Mus musculus: one gene and its partners. The protein of the gene in region 2 interacts with the protein of the main gene of each other region in a biochemical or structural test. Links are inferred from orthologs where the notes say so. Each region holds a gene or a part of one and is shown on either strand. Other genes may lie near its edges.

The links.
Region 1: the proteins of Snap25 (region 2) and Stx3 form a complex in vitro, tested with the Homo sapiens proteins (2 studies listed by BioGRID). The link is inferred for Mus musculus from reciprocal best matches to the Homo sapiens genes SNAP25 and STX3.
Region 3: the proteins of Snap25 (region 2) and Cplx1 are reported together in a solved structure, tested with the Homo sapiens proteins (2 studies listed by BioGRID, with this or other methods). The link is inferred for Mus musculus from reciprocal best matches to the Homo sapiens genes SNAP25 and CPLX1.

What each region holds. Positions count from the first base shown.
Region 1 is NC_000085.6:11,781,154-11,784,931, reverse strand, and holds part of Stx3 (syntaxin-3), read left to right. Parts: exon of another isoform or gene 1-722; intron 723-1,795; coding exon 1,796-1,906; exon of another isoform or gene 1,907-2,021; coding exon of another isoform or gene 2,022-2,258; exon of another isoform or gene 2,259-3,245; intron 3,246-3,251; coding exon 3,252-3,335; 3' UTR 3,336-3,365; intron 3,366-3,778. UniProt on the Homo sapiens protein: Potentially involved in docking of synaptic vesicles at presynaptic active zones. Apical receptor involved in membrane fusion of apical vesicles.
Region 2 is NC_000068.7:136,772,345-136,776,122, reverse strand, and holds part of Snap25 (synaptosomal-associated protein 25), read right to left. Parts: intron 2,229-3,778; coding exon 2,103-2,228; intron 1-2,102.
Region 3 is NC_000071.6:108,522,278-108,526,055, reverse strand, and holds part of Cplx1 (complexin-1), read left to right. Parts: intron 1-488; coding exon 489-664; intron 665-3,778. UniProt on the Homo sapiens protein: Positively regulates a late step in exocytosis of various cytoplasmic vesicles, such as synaptic vesicles and other secretory vesicles.

The DNA of each region.
Region 1 (3,778 bases), on a different chromosome or scaffold from region 2:
GGAGTTTAAGGTTATCTTCTAATACAGAACAAATCTGAAAGGCAGCCTGGGATTCACTAGACCTACCTTTCCTAAAAAAATAAAAAGGAGGTCTTATAGTCAATGCCTTGACAGTCTTTTGATATGAACTATTTTACTGAAAGCTTTTTCTTTTCCTCTAATTCACCATAGAAGTTAAAAGCAAGTTAATTAATTTTTCTAGTTTTGCTTTTATACTTCTCTTTTCCTGAGCATTTTGGCACCTTTTGTTAAGAATCAACAGTAGACATGATTGAAGAATTTCTTATTAAAAGAATATTTTAGTGAAAGACTATAAAAACACTTATGATTCTCGACAATTCATCCCCAAGCTTGCCTGCTTGGGAGTGGAATTCGATATTGCTTGCATATGACATTCATTTCTGTCAGATTGTTGGTCCCCAGTTCTTGGGATAGAGTTAGGTGTCATGTAGGGTCATGGTGCTAAGCAGCTTTCACCAGGAACTTCCAGCTATTCAGCCATTGGTACAGAATTGGAAACTCTTGCTTGGTAGGTAGACCCCAGACCGTAGTTGAAGCCTGAGTACAGGCTAACCAGTTGTTCATGAGTTCTTTGCCCTTTGGCACTCTTCTTCCTTTTCCCTTTCTGGCCTTTGAGACTCCTTTCTCAATCCCTCTATTCCCACTTTTTTTTTTTTCCCACCACACTGCCTTGCTGAGGATCTGGTTTGAGTCAAGTGATGGTAAGTGCTTTGCTGGGTTTTCTGAGAGTCCCAAGGCAAAGGGAATGAGAAAGATCTAGGCGGGTGACAGGGAATGCTCAGCTATAGATTCCCAGGAAGTAACTGGAGTGACCAAACTTCCTTGATAGGAAGTAAAAGCTGGGAAATGATCAGGATCTTATTAAAAGACAAGAGTCTAGAGGGGAAGATACAACCAATAGCATGGGGAGCCCCAACACTGCTACTTAAGGGGCTTGGTAATTTCTCTTGAAGGACTTAAGTACTTCTCCTGTTGCCGACCTGATAATTGCTGTAATACCTTTGTGTACTGGGCACCAGTTCACAGTAGTGAGCAAGCTCGGTTCACAGTAGTGAGCAAACTCAGTTCACGGGAGTGAGCAAACTCAGTTCACGGGAGTGAGCAAACTCAGTTCACGGTAGTGAGCAAACTCGGTTCACGGTAGTGAGCAAACTCGGTTCACGGTAGTGAGCAAACTCAGTTCACGGGAGTGAGCAAACTCGGTTCACGGTAGTGAGCAAACTCAGTTCACGGGAGTGAGCAAACTCGGTTCACAGTAGTGAGCAAACTCGGTTCACGGGAGTGAGCAAACTCGGTTCACAGGAGTGAGTAAACCCAGCTTAGGCTGAGTGAACTTGAATGGCTAAGAATGGGTCAGCATCCTGGTGATATTCTAAAAATATGAGGTTTTCTTATTTTGGTTCATTCCTATATGCTTAAAAAATAAGAACATTAAAGAAAAATGAGGGAGAGGGCGTCCCTTTGTGTATATTTACATGTAGTTACTGAGCACCTAGAAAACCTGCTTCAGATGGCTGGTATAATTACTCATGGAAGTAGTCCAGTAGTTATTGAATGAGTGACCACTGTTGAGGACTGGGGAATTATGGGTCATTACATGGGGAATGGGAAAGTTTGCTCTACGGAAGGCTGTGCTCTAAGGTTTCTGCATGCGCCTTGCCACTGAAGACTGTACAGTCCTTCCCACATTAGCTGGGCTATTTTGTGTGTGTGTGTGTGTGTGTGTGTGTGTGTGTATGTGGGTTAACAGGTGTGACTTGTGTCTTCTTTTTAGGGGGAGATGTTAGATAACATAGAGTTGAATGTCATGCACACAGTGGACCATGTGGAGAAGGCACGGGATGAAACTAAAAGAGCCATGAAGTATCAGGGTCAGGCTCGGAAGGTGAGGTTTTCCTTCTGTCTTCAGACAAGAGAGTCCATTTTGTTTGCTGCTGCGCTTTCTCTCTCCTCTCTTTCTGTCTCTTTCTGTTGCCACCACATCTTGCATCTGGGGAAAGGGAGCCATGATTGACCGCATTGAGAACAACATGGACCAGTCAGTGGGCTTTGTGGAACGGGCTGTGGCAGATACCAAAAAGGCGGTCAAGTATCAGAGTGAAGCCCGGAGGGTGAGCGCCTCAATCTCTGCTTGTTGTACCTTCTCTACCTGTCTTTTGTCACTTGTCTACTCTGTTCTTGAGCCCATGTCCTTCGTCTCTGTCCTAGCCTTAGCCTCTTCCAAACCCCTACCTTAGCCTTTCCTAGACTTCCCTCCCTCCCTCCCTCCCACGGTTCTGTGCATGGATCTGGCTCTCACCTGATTTTGGCCCTAGAACCCACACTCGAGCAGCCCAGTAGGCTGGCCACATGGCCTAGATCTTGTCATTAATCTGATTGTAGCTTGTGAATCCTTAACACATTACGTAGCTCCTTGGAACTCCGGAAAACAGTCTTCCACTTTGCCCAGCATTCTTTCTCTTTTTCTCTAACTTGAACCTAGCACAGTTGCTAATTGTTACATAAATATTATTACACACTCATAGAAGCACTTCCTTTCTCTACTTCTAGATGAAGTACAGGAGTTGGGCCTGGCATTCACATCCCACTAGTGTATTCTACCATGTCTCTGTGCCTGTCTTCCCTTCTGGCCTATGCTCAAGAACTTTGAAGCTTCTGTCTTCATTGACTGTGGATGCCCAGATATGGCAACCTCTGCCTTGTTTTATTCTTTGTTTCTCTTGGTCTCTGAGATTTTCATTCTTTACTTCATTCTCTTCTGCACCTAGCACGCTTGTGCAATTATTGAGGGAGTTCGCAAATTGTTTTCATCTGAATCTATGATGAACTGCATTTTGGACACCTATTCAGTATATGTAGTCTAAGGTATATAACTGGGTTTTTAAGAGGACAGATGAATACATGTTGGTAATCAGAACTGTGTTACAAACATTTTATGGATTGGTGAGGTGCTGCTGGAGACCTCATGATACTGATTGCCCTGAGTTCACATATGCAAGCATGTGAACTGAGAGCTGTAGGTTCTCCACACTTCCATTTGCTGGCACTGCTAGGCAAGACGAAATTTAAGAAATGTAAAATATCCATGAGAACATTTTTTATAGAGAGATGTATGGGTTGAGATGGTTTTCATTGTAAGAGATAAGAAAGGCTACCTTTTAGATGAGTTACTATTGCCTTTTTTTTTTTGTAATAATGATTTTATTTTTATTTCTTATTCCTTTCTCCAGAAATTGATAATTATCATTGTGGTAGTAGTTGTGTTGCTGGGCATTTTAGCGTTGATTATTGGACTGTCCGTTGGGCTGAAATAAGAGTGGCCTAAGGGGCTGCTGCACTGAAATGTAAGTAGACCAAGGGTTCTGGATTGGCTTCTCCTGAGGAATTAGTCTGGGATTTCATAACTCTACTCTTTTCTAATGACTGTCACAATGGGCTTTAAAACTGTTGGTTGCCTTAATTCTTTAATTTCCTTAAAATTCCATTCTTGGGTTCTGGCTGCAGGATACGGGTCAGGTCTTCTGGGTTTTTTGGAGCCTGATTGTTCGTTCGTTCGTTCCTTCCTTCCTTCCTTCCTTCCTTCCTTTCTTTCTTTCTTTCTTTCTTTCTTTCTTTCTTTCTTTCTTTCTTTCTTTCTTTCTTTCTTTCTTTCTTTTTTTGGGCTTTTCAAGACAGAGTTTCTCTGTGTAGCCCTGGCTGTCCTGGAACTCACTCTGTAGACCAGGCTAGCCTTGAACTCAGAAATCTGCCTGCCTCT
Region 2 (3,778 bases):
TATTGCAAACAGCAGGCATCTTACTGCAAATAGAAAGCACTTATTACAGAATTTTCTTACTAGTTACAGTAATGAGCTAAAAACGGAAGGTTTAAACTCCTTTTCCCATGGCAACTCCCAAAGTACACTGGCATATTATAACTTTTGTCTATTGTTTGTTTTGTTTTGCTTGCAACCTTGTCTCCATATATAGCCCAAGCTGACTTTGAGAACTCAGACCTGATGAGTGCTGGGATTAGAGTCCTATGCCACTATGCTTGGCTCCACTAAGATATATATCAGCCTGAGACAGAGCAAATTTAAAGATTAAGAGAAAACCTCCTATCATTTACATTTCATTTGAGTGATCATCAACCATGAACAAGTTTCTGTACCACAACTACTTCCATCCCTAAAGCACAGTGGAACACCAGAGCTGTACAAATCAGAGATGCTTGTGTCAGTTGTCAAGATATTTGGATTGAATTGCTGTGGATTAAATATTGGCGCGTGTCCCTCTGTCTTTCCTTCTTGCATTTTTCCCTGCTTCCCCCTTCCTTCCTTCCTTCCTTCCTTCCTTCCTTCCTTCCTTCCTTCCTTCCTTCCTTCCTTCCTTCCTTCCTTTCTTTCTTTCTTTCTTTCTTTCTTTCTTTCTTTCTTTCTTTCTTTCTTTCTTTCTTCGGATCTCCCATAGTCCATACTTTTACAACCACTGGCTTACAAATTATTAATTGAGTTTCCTTGTAAGCAGATGGAGGCAAAATTAGAATTGTCATTTGTAAGGCATATCTAGACCCTATGACTTATGGCTCACATTTGAATACCAGCATAATTGATTGGCCAATAACTACAATAACTTAGAGATAAATAATTAGGAAGACAAATATCTTCACCTATGCTGAGTTCTGGTATAACAGTGTATATCATTGATTCTCAGCCTGCTTCATGCTGCAATCCTTTAATGCAGATTCTCATGTAATAGAAAATTATTTTTGTTGCTACATCATAAGTACAATTTTGCTACTGTTTTCAATTGTACTGTAATTATTTCTGGAGACAGAGGTTTGCTAAAGCAGTTATAACTCACAGGTTGAGAACTGTTTGTTGATATGTAATAAGTCTAAACTGTTTTAATTGATAAGGCTTACACTTTCTTTGACAAAATTACGCTTTTCTGGTTAAAACAAACTGGTGGTTGTATGGAATGAATTGGGGGGAGCATGCCCAAAAATATAATAACTTTAATCTTTCCTTTGTCATAGAAAATATTTGGCTGTTTTTCTGCTTAGTGGTTTCCTTTCCTCAGGCCAAGATATTGGCTGACATATAATTTGAGCTTTTAAAATAGGTATTTATTTATTTATTTATTTATTTATTTATTTATGCTTCTAGATCTCAAAAGAAGTGGTTAATGTGTATTCCACTTTTTCCTCCTTTTCCTACTCTAAATCAGGTCTTTGACTTCCCCTGCTCTGTGCCCTGAGAAGCTGACCTTTATTACTGTACTACTGGCTCCTTGTTTGCTCTGGCTTCCAGTGGGCTTTGAATAGTGGCCTGAGAGAGACTGGAGGTCATGAAAGCAGGGTTTAGGGCATTTGCTTCTCTTTCTTGTTCTAGTCAACTCTAGCTATGACTGTATTTCCCTACCATAAAACCCTTTTGTTCTTGGCCTATCTCCTGAGAAAGGAGTGGTAACAGCTTTCTGGTACTCCTAGACTATAAATGCTACATTACTCTTGCTGTTTACCAGGCCTCTGCTAAAATAAACTCAGGTCAAGTGATGTCATTCCATACCAACTCTGATTCTGGATGTGGTCATGCTTTGCACCATGGCAAACTGTGCCCATGCCATAGCTCAGAAGGAAATCATGTCTTGGATTTTGCCTGCTTGGAACACTATCATTACCATGAAGAAACCTGAGCTCTTTGCTGGAAGACCTCATGCAGGTGGATGGAAGTGTCTCTACTGATAGCCCAGCCAAAGACCAGACAAGATAATGAATGACAAGCTATCATAATCTAATCATAGCCCAATGAGGGAGCCCAAAAATTCCTTGCAAGTAAAAGAAAAGAAAATAGTTCAGTGCTGGTTATCCATCAACAGAGTACTGCAAAAAACTCACCTGCGGATGAAGCCACCACTGATGGCCATCTGCTCCCGTTCATCCACCACACGGGCAGGCTGGCTGGCCACTACTCCATCCTGATTATTGCCCCAGGCTTTTTTGTAAGCATCACTGGATTTAAGCCTATGCAAAAAATTGGGTGAGTGACAAAGCCCAGGGTGGAGGAGCAAGCTCACAGAAATGATCACTTCTTTAAGCGAAGAACCGAACCAAGCAAATGAGTTTTAAGTTGAGGCATTAGAGAATACCGATATATCATAATCTGGACCCAAACAGTTGGCCACCACCACACCTCAGCTATTCAGCATTTTATTTTTAATTAAGCCAATTTTTTTGGGGTTTTTTTTTTTTTTTGGTTTTTCGAGACAGGGTTTCTCTGTGTAGCCCTGGCTGTCCTGGCACTCACTTTGTAGACCAGGCTGGCCTTGAACTCAGAAATCTGCCTGTCTCTGCCTCCCAAGTGCTGGGACTAAAGGCGTGCGCCACCACCGCCCAGCTAATTGAGCCAATTTCAATGGTCAAGACTAATCTTTGGTTTGTTTTGTGCTTTAATTGGATTTAAGATGAGGCTTAAGATAGCTGGTGAACATTCAGTTCTATTTCAGTGACATGATTATATTTTGAGACACAAAACACAGAAAAACATACTGGCAGACAGACACAAGACAACACTGCCAAGTAGAGGGTGTACATCACACCACAGTAACACGGAGTCATGAAGAAAAACATACTTGACGTTTAAACACACCATCATGCAGTGATCTTTGCTTAATATCTTTCCCTCAATGCATGTGTGTACTACATTTCAATGTTTCATGAAAGACACAAAGGATTGGTGGTTGGCCAAGGGTGATGGTCTTTGGGTTGCTTCTAGAGTGGTTTGAAATTGATAATATATCGGTACTTCCAAACAGTCACCATACATCCAGGGTTGATGTACAAACCTTTGTCCACAGAGACAAAAAGTAAAAGAAGCATTGTGAAATGAATGCAGGAAAATAGAAGAGAGAACAAGCCATCTAGCACCAAAGAGGAACCCCACCCCACCCCACCCTGTGTCTTCTTCATGCACCAGCTACAGGCATGAGTAGAAAGTGAAGCATTCTCATTTAAGCCAAACTACTCCAGAAGTTGACCATTCTCGAAATAGGCACTAGCAGGACAGTAATAGCCTTCGTGAGGATTTGAAACGCAGTTCAGTAGCTTCTTGGTTGGGCCAAAGGGCAGGGTAGTGTGCAAACAGATTCCTACTTTAAACTATTCTGGGTTATCACAAGGGAGAGTGGTTTGGAACTAGTGTGGTCTCCATGGGCTACATTTCACTGACCTGCCTTGGAACAAAACTTAAAATCCAGGCATACCTGTTGTGCCCAATAGAAACATATAGAGCATATTTTGGTGGGTGTGTTGTAATTTAAGGCAATCAAAGATGTTTCTAGGTTCTTTGCATAGTAGAAACCACATGCTATTGAGTCCAAGAACAACATACATCCTTCGGTCTCATTTCGCAGTTTTTATTCTAAGACAACAAGATTATATACTACTTTCCCCCACTTTTTCTGTGTTTCAAAGCCATCTCTTAAACTGGCTTTAATCCTTGCAGTCTGAGGACCAAGAAACCATGGTGACAAACTGGGAAATGCACCAATGGAATTTCAGCAGCTTCCACAATT
Region 3 (3,778 bases), on a different chromosome or scaffold from region 2:
GTGCTGAAGATAAGCAGTGCCTTCAGCCTGGGTTATGGGTACATGCCTGTCACCTACTTTAGCAGCCACTATTGCCCATCATAATCTGTTCCTGCCTGTTCATCATCTATGCATCTGCACATCTGGATTTCCCTTCCATCACCTTCGGTTCAATCCTCTGCAGGACAAAGGTCTCAGGAAGGATGCACATCTGCCTCAGGAGCACATAGATGAGCAGACACATCAGTGCACACAAACACACATGTGCAGTGGCATGAATATACACACAGATAACTAGATGAACATGCAACTACAACACAACCACTCACTATATGTGTGTGTGTGTGCATGTGCACGCGTGCGTGCGTGTATGTGTGTGTGTGGGTAAATACACAGACAAAAACCAACACATTCACTTCTCTCAAGGGATGGGCACTACTGGACTCACGGCCAGCAGAAGGGACTAGGAACCCAGAATGATGCTGCCTGATCTCTGCTGTTATTCCCAGGGGCCACCAAGGACATGGGGAAGATGCTTGGGGGTGATGAGGAAAAGGACCCCGATGCTGCTAAGAAGGAGGAAGAGCGGCAGGAGGCACTGCGGCAGGCAGAGGAGGAGCGCAAAGCAAAGTACGCCAAGATGGAGGCAGAACGTGAGGTCATGCGGCAGGGTATAAGAGACAAGGTGAGCAACTGCAAAGAGGAGAACTGCAGGCAGCAACCCTACCAGAGGCAACAGCCTCCTTCCTTGGCTAACAGCTCCCCTTTCACTCCTAATTCAGGGATCTAAACCTTGGGGACTGCACTGTTGGGGGACTATAGGTGTTTGAATCTGGTTGGGGGTCATTCTGAGGGCTGCCCTTTCCTACTCCTCATGTCAGGACTGGTTGTTCTCCTGGAGCTTTGGCCCTGCCCAGAAAGAAGACTCTAAGAGAGGAATGGGGATTGGCTGAGCTGGGAGTCTTTGTGGGTCAGGAAAATCAGGGCCAGAAGTTCCCCTTTACCTTTGCTTCCTGGACTTAAACAGGGTGGATGGGTGGTAGCCTCCCTGTTCCCAGTCACCTTTGTGACTGTCTCTGCAGGTAGTAGGGCAGTCAGAGAGCATTGTGCCTCCTATTCATAGTGGAAAAACTGAGGACCCATGTGGAATCCTGAATTGAGGACCACATACAGCCACCTCTTTTAAGAGAATGGTTCCTGCCCACTCCAGAAGGGAAGCGCCAGGCCATGGGAAGAAACGAGTCATTGAGATCCTTCCAGGCCCTGTGGGGATGGTTCAGCAGGCTTGGGTGGGTAGGTGGGGAGCAGGGAGTAGGTCACATAATCCTCCAGTCCTGGACTTGAGATGCTAAGCTGGGGAGCAGACATCCTAGGTTCTAGGTCCCCCTTCCTGCCTGTACATCCACACCAGGTTCTCTGTTGATGTGTCTGTGGTTGGGGCAGATCTTTGTGACACACAGGGAAGGAAGCTGTAACTCCTAAGATGGATAGCGGGAGATGGCCAGTAGGTGGCTGGAGACATTGGGTCCTTGATCTCACAAAGGGCCAAATGTGTAGCTGGCCTCCCCTCTCTGCCCATATTTGGCCTCCGAGGTAAGCCCTAGAATACCCTCCCTTCACACTTGGTTGTAGAGTGCTGTTTATGGGATCTGGGCTATGCACTTGACATTTGCCTTGAAGCGCTGTCACTGGGCAGTTTCCTGGGTCTTGTAGAAGGTGCTTGCTCAGTTTGCTTTGCCCCTACCTTCCACAGCCAGTGAGTCACTTATTGTGGTTAGCAAGATGTGCTATTGATCATGTGAGTGACATGGTAGCAGACCCCAAAATTAATTGTAATGTATCAAGAGGTGTGAGGATGAACATGAGAGATGGATAGAGAGTTAGAGACTGACAGACAGACAGTGATGCTAAATGGAGGGCTTAGAGGGACGGAAAGAAAAGCAAAAGAGAGCTGAGAGCCACAGAGGTCCCTCCCTAGGTAGAGTTAAGAGGGACCAGAACAAGGTTGGAGTAGGGTGCTATGCTAGATGCCCAAGTGTGCAGTGGCTCTGGCAAGTTCAGGGTTGGGGCTGGGTTTTTGGTCCAGGAGAGTCCTGTGCTTGGTTCAGTCCCCCTCAGGAAGTTCCTGCCAAATACCACCCTACCCACAAAGCTTTGACCTCTCGGTGTGTTTAAAAAATTGGGACTCAAAGAAGACAGGGTACCTTATCCACTGCTCTGTTTTTACACATTTCCCTAGAAACTGTGAAGAAATTTGTTCTTCAAAACAGTATTTCAACATGTGGGTTGAGACCCCTTGAGGGATCCAATGACCCTTTTACAGGAGTCCCCTAAGACCATTGGAAAACACAAATATTTACATTGCATTTCACAACTGTAGCAAATTACAGTTATGAAGTAGCAATGAGATGATTTTATGGTTGGGGTTCACCACAACATGAAGGACTGTATTAAAGGGTCACAGCATTAGGAAGGTTGGTAGCCACCGCTTCAGAAAGTTCAACAGCCTATGCCTGGCTGATTAGGGAAAAGAAATGCAGAATATCCAAGTGATCCCCTAAAAGAGGCCCCTCTGGTGCAGATAAAAAGGGTGAGCCCAAGAGGGGAAAGTTGTAGGGTCAAAGCCCCAGGCACTCCCAGATGCACTGGGCCCCACCCCACATCATCCCATGCTGACAGGATGGTATGGAAGCTGTCATGTTTCCAGACATCCGGTTACTTCTATATCACTGCCTGGCCACCCCAGAAGCTATCAGTCCTGACTCCTGGGCCTTCACTGCTGCTGCTCCATCTCCCCAGCTCCCATAGGTGTACATCCTGCTGGTCTGGTTGAGCCCTCACTGGGCAGTCCCTGCTACCCACTAGAACTGGATCCCCAGCCTCGCCCTGGGCTATGTGTACCCCTAGTGTCTTGAGCCTTGGTCAGAGAGAGAGAGCTGAGCAGTGTTCCAAGGCTCCTCAGTGATAAGGGGGAGAGGAAGAGACTAAGAATGGGGTCAGTTTTCATATCCTCATGGTGTGAGGCTCCTGGTAACCCATCTAAAGAACTGGGCATGGATATTCAGGATTGTCCCAGGGTGGGGCGGTTCCTGGAGAAGTATCCATATCCATTAGGAAGCCATCTAAGCAGAGTTTGATTTGCAAACCCACCATCCAGTATCTATTTCTACCACCTATTTGTGCACACAGCCAGATTTCCACACACACCTCCAGGTTTGCATATGTACTACATGCTTTGTGTATGCTTCCAGCCGCCCACAGTGAACTGTCTGTTGAGTCAGAACCTTTCTTCTGGTGAGGGGACAAGGCCCAGGTGTAGAGCTGGCATGTTTCTGCACCCACAGTTCTGTACTCACCTGGCTTCTCTCCGCCTGTATGGTGATGAAAGCTGTGCAGGTGGAGACTGGCCAGAGCTGTTGGCTCTTAGCACTCATAGCCTTTACTTAACAGTGATCTTAGGTCTTCTGTTGTCTCCTATACGTGAAACCCCCTTAATCCAGCCCTTCGGCATCTTCACCTGCCTCGGAAAGGTGTGCCTTCTAGCATACCTGACTGTTACTTCCCGTGGCCCTGTCCTTGGGCTGATGCTTCCGGACACCTGACACAATGGATACCTGGCCTGGGTTAGGTTGGCATTTATTCCTGGAGTCCAGAAGATCAGCACAGGCCACAGCACCTGAGTCTGGCTCTGGGACATAGTCTAGATGGCATCCTCTGGCAGAATAACCAGGACGTTCCCTAAGAGAGCTCAGTGTGGCTGTAGCCTCAGAGTGACCTTGATCCTCAGTGGACAGACTAG